Danio rerio: one gene and its partner. The protein of the gene in region 2 purifies or fractionates together with the protein of the main gene of each other region. This does not show direct contact. Links are inferred from orthologs where the notes say so. Each region holds a gene or a part of one and is shown on either strand. Other genes may lie near its edges.

What was found. The genes of interacting proteins can lie anywhere in the genome.
Region 1: the proteins of gnb1b (region 2) and pfdn5 purify together in Homo sapiens (co-immunoprecipitation; 3 studies listed by BioGRID and IntAct, with this or other methods). This does not show direct contact. The link is inferred for Danio rerio from reciprocal best matches to the Homo sapiens genes GNB1 and PFDN5.

The regions. Positions count from the first base shown.
Region 1 is NC_133181.1:42,215,186-42,219,458, forward strand, and holds the start of pfdn5 (prefoldin subunit 5), read right to left. Parts: upstream 2,802-4,273; 5' UTR 2,796-2,801; coding exon 2,730-2,795; intron 1,692-2,729; coding exon 1,589-1,691; intron 1,513-1,588; coding exon 1,481-1,512; intron 1,349-1,480; coding exon 1,274-1,348; intron 1,190-1,273; coding exon 1,084-1,189; intron 1-1,083. UniProt on the Homo sapiens protein: Binds specifically to cytosolic chaperonin (c-CPN) and transfers target proteins to it. Binds to nascent polypeptide chain and promotes folding in an environment in which there are many competing pathways for nonnative proteins.
Region 2 is NC_133181.1:56,065,046-56,069,184, forward strand, and holds the start of gnb1b (guanine nucleotide binding protein (G protein), beta polypeptide 1b), read right to left. Parts: upstream 2,804-4,139; 5' UTR 2,525-2,803; intron 1-2,524. UniProt on the Homo sapiens protein: Guanine nucleotide-binding proteins (G proteins) are involved as a modulator or transducer in various transmembrane signaling systems.

The DNA of each region.
Region 1 (4,273 bases), about 14 Mb from region 2:
ATTTAAGAAATATATAGATAAATAAAACTTATGCAATCTGCACTCCGAAATAAGTACAAAGACTGCCACCTGGTGGTTCAAAGAGAAAATGTATTGATATGAACTTTTTAAATACAATGCAAATGCACAATATTCAACTTTTTTAAAAAAAGGATACTGATTTATGCAGTCATGCACATGTTGTGATCGCCAATATGCCGGTGATATGTTGCTTCACAAAAGTTGCAGACACCTTCACCTTTATCAAAATGCTTTTTTGATGGAAAATTAATTCATACAGTTATTCCTTACTCCAATTAAAAAAAACTTGAGTAGGCCTAAGCTACTATAATAAAGAAAATCTTCTCTAAATGTAGAACTAAATACATTGATATGCTTTAAAATACATAATGAATACTCTTGACACATGAAAGTGTTAAGCCTGCAGCTCACAACAAACCGTTTACTGCTTGTTTGATGTAATTTTGCTCACATGGATAATTGAATATTATTCAGATGATGTCATTACGCTGCTGTGCCGTCAGCCAATCGTTGCATTGCTGATCATGATTTCGAGGATCGATGGATCTGTCCTTCACAACACATGCAGCGATCTCAGATCAGTTTATCCAGACATTCTAATCGGATTCGCAAACTTGTTTGAAGAACCAAATTAGCCAGAGATCAGTTATCAAGATGAAAAGATCCAGGATCTGCCAAATCATCTTATATCATTTAAGCGAGGTACGAAGAACGGACCCCAGATCTATTTTCAGTTGTTAGACACCCACATGAAAATATACGACAGTAATCTATAGTAAATAAAATTGTGATTTTTAACCATACTGACATCTCCAATAGATAGAGATGTTGCACAAACACCTAAAATATTGCCAGAATTGGTCTTTATGTATGTGTGATTTATATTGCATCACCAAAAATGATTGAGGTCATGTCCATGTGTTGTACGCTCAGTCGTTATATTGATTATTGTGACAGGCTTACTTGAAAATAGTGAAAAAAGAAATACAATAAAAATGTACTGTATTTTTATCAGCTATGGTGAACATAAGAAACATGTTTTTCAAAAGACAAGAAAATCACCTTGTTTCATGGCATATTTTTCTTGAAGAGCAGGCTGAATCTTTTCAATTTGTTTAGTAAGGAAGTCGATTTTGCGTTTAAAGAACTCTTTGCCGTCCTCTACATTCTGAAAAGACAGAAAAGGCAATGTGATTTACTCAGTTTTGACATTTTTACATATACTAAAACTACTAGACTGATTCTTACTCACCTTCTCCACAAAATAACCTGTTCCCACATCCACTAACACATGATCCACATCATGCAGCTTTCCAGGTACATACATCTACATGACTGAGGTTAAGGGAATAACGGACCACTGCAAATTAATTACACACACATCAAACTGTCTGTGTGACTTTCTTATGTGGCATAAATCAATCAGAACTCATTTATAACTCAGCTGTTTAGAGGATACAGAACTGGTGAGAGGGACGAGTAGTTCTTTACCTGAGAGAAAAAGTAAAAAAAAATTAGCAAACGTCAGATTTAGCTAAAAACGTCATAAAAGAGTTTTAAAAGTCACCTTCATTGCTCTTGTTAAGCACATTCAAACTGTCTTTGGCCTCCACATATTTTGTTTGGACGACTTTCAGCTGAGCTATAGACGATGACAGGAACTCTGTTTCCTAGAAAACACATTTTTAAGCAATTTATACAAAATAACGTGTAAATCTACCTTGAGATGTCCCTTTTTGGTGTCTCAAAGTAAATTAACATTATTGCATTTATATTCACAGAAAGCACACTGAACGCAAGCAAAGTGTTAACTTAAATGTTTCAAATAACTTTTGTAAAAATAAAATCAAAAAATGAGTGAAAATCTATCAAATAATTAACAATAATAATAATTTAGGAAATAATGTCAGGGTAATTCAGAGCAACATATATATTTATTTAAAAATGGGAAAAACATAGTACTTATTCTGTACTAGGTATGGGGCGATAACTGTTTGCAAGGTAAACCGGCAAGGTTTGGAATAGTCAAGGTTTTAAACCTTAAAAGTAAAAATTAGTAAAATAAAGGGTTTGAAGGATAGTGACAAATTATGCATGTTTAAAAAAAGAAAAATAATTAGAATTTGGGAGCTACAGTTCAACCTTTAAATAGTTAAATGCCATCAAAATAATCTTGGTCTAAAAATATGGCTGCCCAGAATTTTTAATATATATAAACTATTGTTATGACATTTTTGTTGGGGTCTTCTGTAAAATACAGTAAAATAAATATGACGGTCAAAATAAAACAGATAATCAGGACACATGTAAACTTCAAAAGTTTACTCACAGAAAAACAAAATTAGTCTTTTAAATTAATCTTATACAGATTATAGACTTGGTACCAAAATATATTTCAAACTGTGAACTCGTTAAAATAAAACCAAGTTGTGTTTAGTGAGAACTGACTGAGACACCATTCACATACAATGCAAGTGAACGTCGATAAAGTCATTCTGCATCTCATTTTCTGTCATACGGAATAAATGCAGCCATGTGGACAATCATAGAGGGCTTTTTTTCCGCATTACCAGCAGCAGCAGCACGCGCACAGACAGCATGACAACCGCAGCCCGTCAGTAAATTAATTCACTGACAGAAAAACAGCAGCACCTGATGCTACTCGGACATACGAAACGATGATGTTTTTTATTTTTAACACAATTTACCTGATCAAGCTGAGTTTTCAAGCCTTCTAATTGTGGAAGAGACAATTCAGTGAGATTCACCGCCATGTTGACAATAAAAGAGGGTGAGGAAAACTTCCGGGTCAAGCGGACGCAACTAAAAGGACTTTTACCATTGATTTTTTTCCATTACACACTACAGTCATTTGTTATACTTTAACAAATAAAACGTCGACTAAATAAACTAACAGTGCATTTATACAGCATGTATTAACATTACCTTAAAAAAAAAGGGAGATGACCAGCTAAAACCAGCTTGACCAGCCTAGCCAAGCTGGGAGTCCAGCCAAAACCAGCTATATCCAGCTTAAACCAGGCTGGGCAAGCTGGTTTTAGTTGGATTTGGCTGGTCATTTTCCAGCCTGACCAGCTAAGACCAGGCTGGAAATGGCTGGAAACTAGCCTGGAAATGGCCAAAACCCCTCTAAAACCAGGCTGGTCAACTGATTTTTCAGTAGGGAATGTATTTGATTAGTATGTAAACATGAGTAAATCCTTATTAATCAATTAACAAACTATTCATTGTCAATGCATGTGGTGCACAAATTTCAACTATTTTAAGCCTCATTGTTAAGTATTAGAATAGGTTTGTATTTCAGTAGACATTGAACACTAAAAATACACACCAGTTAAAAAGTGAAGAAAATGTACACAGCTCAAATCCTTATAAAGCTCATGGGCATTCATTAATGTTTGTGTGTGTATGTGTGTGTTTGCCTTTATGTGTTTGGTATTGTCCTGAGTTTTCTCCAACAGGAGTAGTGTGTATTTTACAAAAGCAGAAAATCTCATCTGAAACACTAACTCATGACAGGAAGTCCGTAACACTTGTTTAAATTAATATTTCATTTTTTCAGATTCACCATTAAACCTGGCCGTTCAGCACATAAGAATCACATCAGATCAGGTACGTCAGATATTTGTACGTCTCTGAAAACGCTGTCCCTGACATTTTGAAGACTTATGGGAACACCGATTTCAGTGTTTACAGTCCTTGTTGCCTGTCGGTTTATCCATCAGTCTGCAGTGACAGATGACCAATTCATGTTTTTCCTCCATGTGTACTCCTTTACTAGCACATCCCTCATTTCAGTTAACCCCTGTGTGCTGTTGAGGGTGTTTTCATCCACTCTGGGGTGATTTTGTGTCTTCATTTGGTCAACTTTTTCTGTTTCAACTAGCAGAACGACTTTGGCGACAAATTTAATTTTGACACGTTTTTGGAAAATGCTTTGACATTTTTAAAGAACTTAACGATACACTCTGGGCAATTTTGCTACCCTTTTGTTATGTTTGGGATGAAAACCTCCACTAATTTAAACTGCTGTAAAAATGCATCAGATAAATATGTTTTCCCATAAATCTGTTAATCAACCTCAGTCCCGATCAAAACTACTAAACTGTTTAGGAAATTACAGTTTAAATTCCTAATTACCAAATTCATAAATCTGTCACTGATTGGTGGAAAAACACACAAAATGACGTATTTTCAATACAAAAAGTAATCGTGGACTGGATTTTTTTTA
Region 2 (4,139 bases):
AAAGTCTGCAAGTTTGCAGTATACAACATACTTTATAGAAATTCTATGAATTAAACAAAGCAACCCAAAAGAAACAATGCTAATTAAAAGGATAAGAGTTGTTCCTCTACAGAGCAAACATGACTTATTTTACCTTAGATTTTTGCATTTATGAGATGAAAGTTATGGATGTGGCAGATGTGAAATTGCCACTTGTGTGACTTTGCTAAATCAAATATAATAGTTTGAAAACATTGACAGAGAGATTTTTGAGTAGTGTAAGCACTGCAAAGTATTTGCCAACACCAAAAATGTAGAAACAGTTTCGTTATTTTGGTTGAAGCTTAGTTTTTTCATGACAAGGCTGACATTTACATGGAAATGCTCAAATCTCAACATGCTTGCATTAAAACACCTGCGAAAACAAATGGGCGTTAGTTTGAAAATCAAAATAGATATTCAGAATTACATTATCTGAATAGATTTCAATTATTCCATCATAATTATACACATATCAGCTTCTGAGGTGCCCACTGCGAATCAATCTGATGCTTTTAGTTATCCACAATTACAAAACTGCATGTGTATCAATGCAGATTGCACAATGTATAATGCAAATGGATTACAAGTAATGCTTCAGCAAATGTAACACTGCCGAGTAAAACATGAACAATGACTATAATAAACATGATAAGCAAAGAACCAACTTAGGTGCATAAAAAGCAGGATGTCTGGGAGGGAGTTAAAAACAACAATGTATGCAATGAATCATCCATTATGCTTTTGTTTTAAAATAAAATCAAACAAAAGTGCATTATCTAAACACAAAAGGGTATTGTGAGAGCTTATGTGCATGACTGCAAAGAAATGTCTACATTTATAGCACCAGAAGCACAAGTTGAAATCAACAAAATGTGAACGATCACGTCACGGTGGACTCGAAACACTATTTGATATTTCACAATTGCATTTCGCGTCATAAAGGATGAGGTTATGCAGCTTTAGGTGCCACACAAAGAGCATTTTATTTAAAAAAAAACGATAAACTCTAGCTTCAAAATATGTTCCTGGAATCGTTTTTAAAACAACGAGCTTCGTTTAAGAGCAAAACGGTGCTTTTTTCGGCGTTTCAGCGGGTTAAATGAACGGCATGCTGATATGAGTGCGGAGAGGGAAGCCGGAGAGAGAGGCTACGGACGCCATCTTGTTCTTGGGCCCCACATTGAAGAATTCATTGATTCCGTTTATTTATTCATGAACGGTGTTCCTTTATCTAAATGCCAGCGAAGAGAAAGGCAAACTCGATCGGTAGGGGAAAAAAGAAGGAGGGGGCGCAACATATTTATCCCATAGCCTATATTTCCCCGACCAATCCCTTAATAGTGACCTCAATACTGAGCCGCTAGCCCGTTCTTAAAATATTCCAGCAGCGATGATAAAGGCCATCCGGCTCCATTCATTTCGCGTATCTGAAGAACTGCAAAGCTCTTTGCTGCATTACTCTGATACACGATCGCAGGAGAAAACACATCTAGCAGGTCTTTTATTCTTTATCGTCAGCAAAAGCAATTCAGCGAGAATCGTAGCGGAGCATCACCGAGATGTCGCGAAGAGAGGCAGTGCACCTATATACCTGAACAGCAAAGGCCCTTTAAACACAGGCTTAATGAAATCCAATTAGGTTGTTTAAAAGAGTAGTTAAAAGAAGCAGCGCACACTTAACGCAATAAACATTAACACGAGCTAAGTCGCTTAAATGCACACGGGATTTCGGATTACGCCATTCTGACTCGTAATAAATCCATCTCCATGTAAATGTGTGTAGGGGAAAACACACTAGGACGGCTTGTAATATACAGCCAGATGGTGTAGATTGCAATAGACGATCGGGTGAACAAATAAATGGCTAATCTTTATTTACCGACTGCATTTCGATCAATATTCACTTGTAGTACACGAGAGTGTGTAAACCAGCATTTGCCTAACCAAAAATCCTCGATTCTGTAACACAGAGGAAGGCCTAGCTGAGCTGAAAAGCCGAATATTTTGCCAGCAGAAGCTCCGGTAATTAGCCTGTTAGCTTACAGACCAGCCTCCAACCAAAACCCCCCAAACTTAACATTTAAAGCAATCTTAATTGCTATTAAAATGCCCCTATCAAGCACATTACTGAATTCCCCCAAACCTAAATTGGTTTAATTCTGAAGTAACGCCGATTTTTGGGTGCTAACAAGCGAACTCGCACTAAACGGCCTCCGGTTAAGTCGGCCGACTCAGTTCACGCCATAATGACCGAGCGAGAGATTAAATGCACTATAAATTCACATTAATAAAACACACACGATGATAACTGTTTAAAACAACCGTTTTTCGCATATTTGCCTGCCACTGTTGTGTATGTAAATCGCTCGGCTAGCCGCTACCTGCGCCTCACCCCACCCCCCTTCATTCTCTATGGTGACCAGCATTTTATCCAACAAATTCACCCGATTAGAACGAAACATTCAGTTCCACACACTTGAAATAAGCACATAGTGTTCCATACCTGTTCTCAGTCGTAAATGGCCTTTGTTTATATGGCATTGACCGAAAAAAACGATGGTGTGGCTGTCAAATCCACGCATCAACGAACAAGACGAGCTAGCTCGCTAACTAGCAGCGGGAGAAGTACCGAGTCCACTTCCACAGCGACAAAACTCGCTCCGGCGGGCGGGAAATGAGCCTGTACGAGGGGGGATCTCAACTGCGAGGAAAAGCTGCACTCATAAATGTCCGATTGGAGACTTTGGTCAGCTAATAAGTCCGTCGGTGGCCACTTCCCGTTGCCTTCCTTGAAGGAACACTTCTCTCCAGTTCAGTTCACCTCTCATCCGGCCATCAGACGGAGATGGGCGCGGTAACCCTGCAGTCTGCCCTGGGAAACCCCACGCCGCAGCGCACGGGCGAGCGGCGCTCTTACGCAGGAATGGAATTGACAGAAACATTTCCAAGCCAATTTAGCAAGATTTGAATACACTGATGTACTTTTTAAAATGCTTAACGTTTTTAAAAATATTATACAACCCATATTCCATTAATAGATTAACCTGAGCAAAGACTTTATGGAGAAGACCGAGGCTTTGTCACAATTTACTACAGAACAGGTTTTTCTCTATAGGTTTAGCTGTACTTTGTTTGAAGTGAGATTTTGATATAGGCACAAGTGCAAATTTAGAGATTTATAATAATAATTATATTAACAAAATCATTTGAGAAAAGTATTGTTTGCTAATTCTGAATAGTTAAATCATATTCGCAGCCAATGACTATCAAAGTAGTCCAACAGTGTTGATGTTAATAGTGCTAATGTTGTTTTGAGAAATCGTGTAGGGGACTTATATAATTACAGTGAATTTATTAACACTTTTGGTTTAAAAAAATACTTTGAATAAATACAAAAAAAAATGTGTTCATTGTATCTCCCTAAAATAAATGTACCTTATTAAAACCACAAAAATATATAACCATGTATCTGGCTCTCTTCCAGAGCTTACTATTAAGGGCCTCTCTATCATGGATAAAAAACTGAATAACAATTATATCAGGAAAATCCTGACTGCAGATAAAAGTGTTCCTCTAATAGCAATGGTTAAATGGAAACAAGCATTCCCTTCATTCTTTTCCCCCAAAACTCTGGTCAGATTTTACAAAATACATACTTCCCAATAAAGTAAAATAAACTATTTGTAAAATATTACATAGATATTATCCATGCAATGGTTTTATTAGTAGGTTTAAGGAAGGTTTTTCACCTTTGTGTTGTTTTTGTAAAATGGAACTGGAAACAATTCTTCATTAATTTTTCAGTTGCAGTTACACAAAACGGCTTTGGTCCCAAGTTTTCTCACTACTTTTTGAAGTGTATTGTAAATTTATCAATATAACTGATAAAATGGTTTTATTTATGGACTGCAACTCTGGGAAATGGACAAAATAACAAAAAAAATCTTATTTTATTTGGAAAGTATCACATCCGCAAAACAAAATGTATGCTGACTGTATTAAAGTGTAAACTATTCTTCATTGATCTAAATAATTTTATGATTCCCTCACTTCTATACAGAGTAATACTAAAGTTTAAGACATCCCAATTGCTGGAAAAATACTTAATGTACATAATT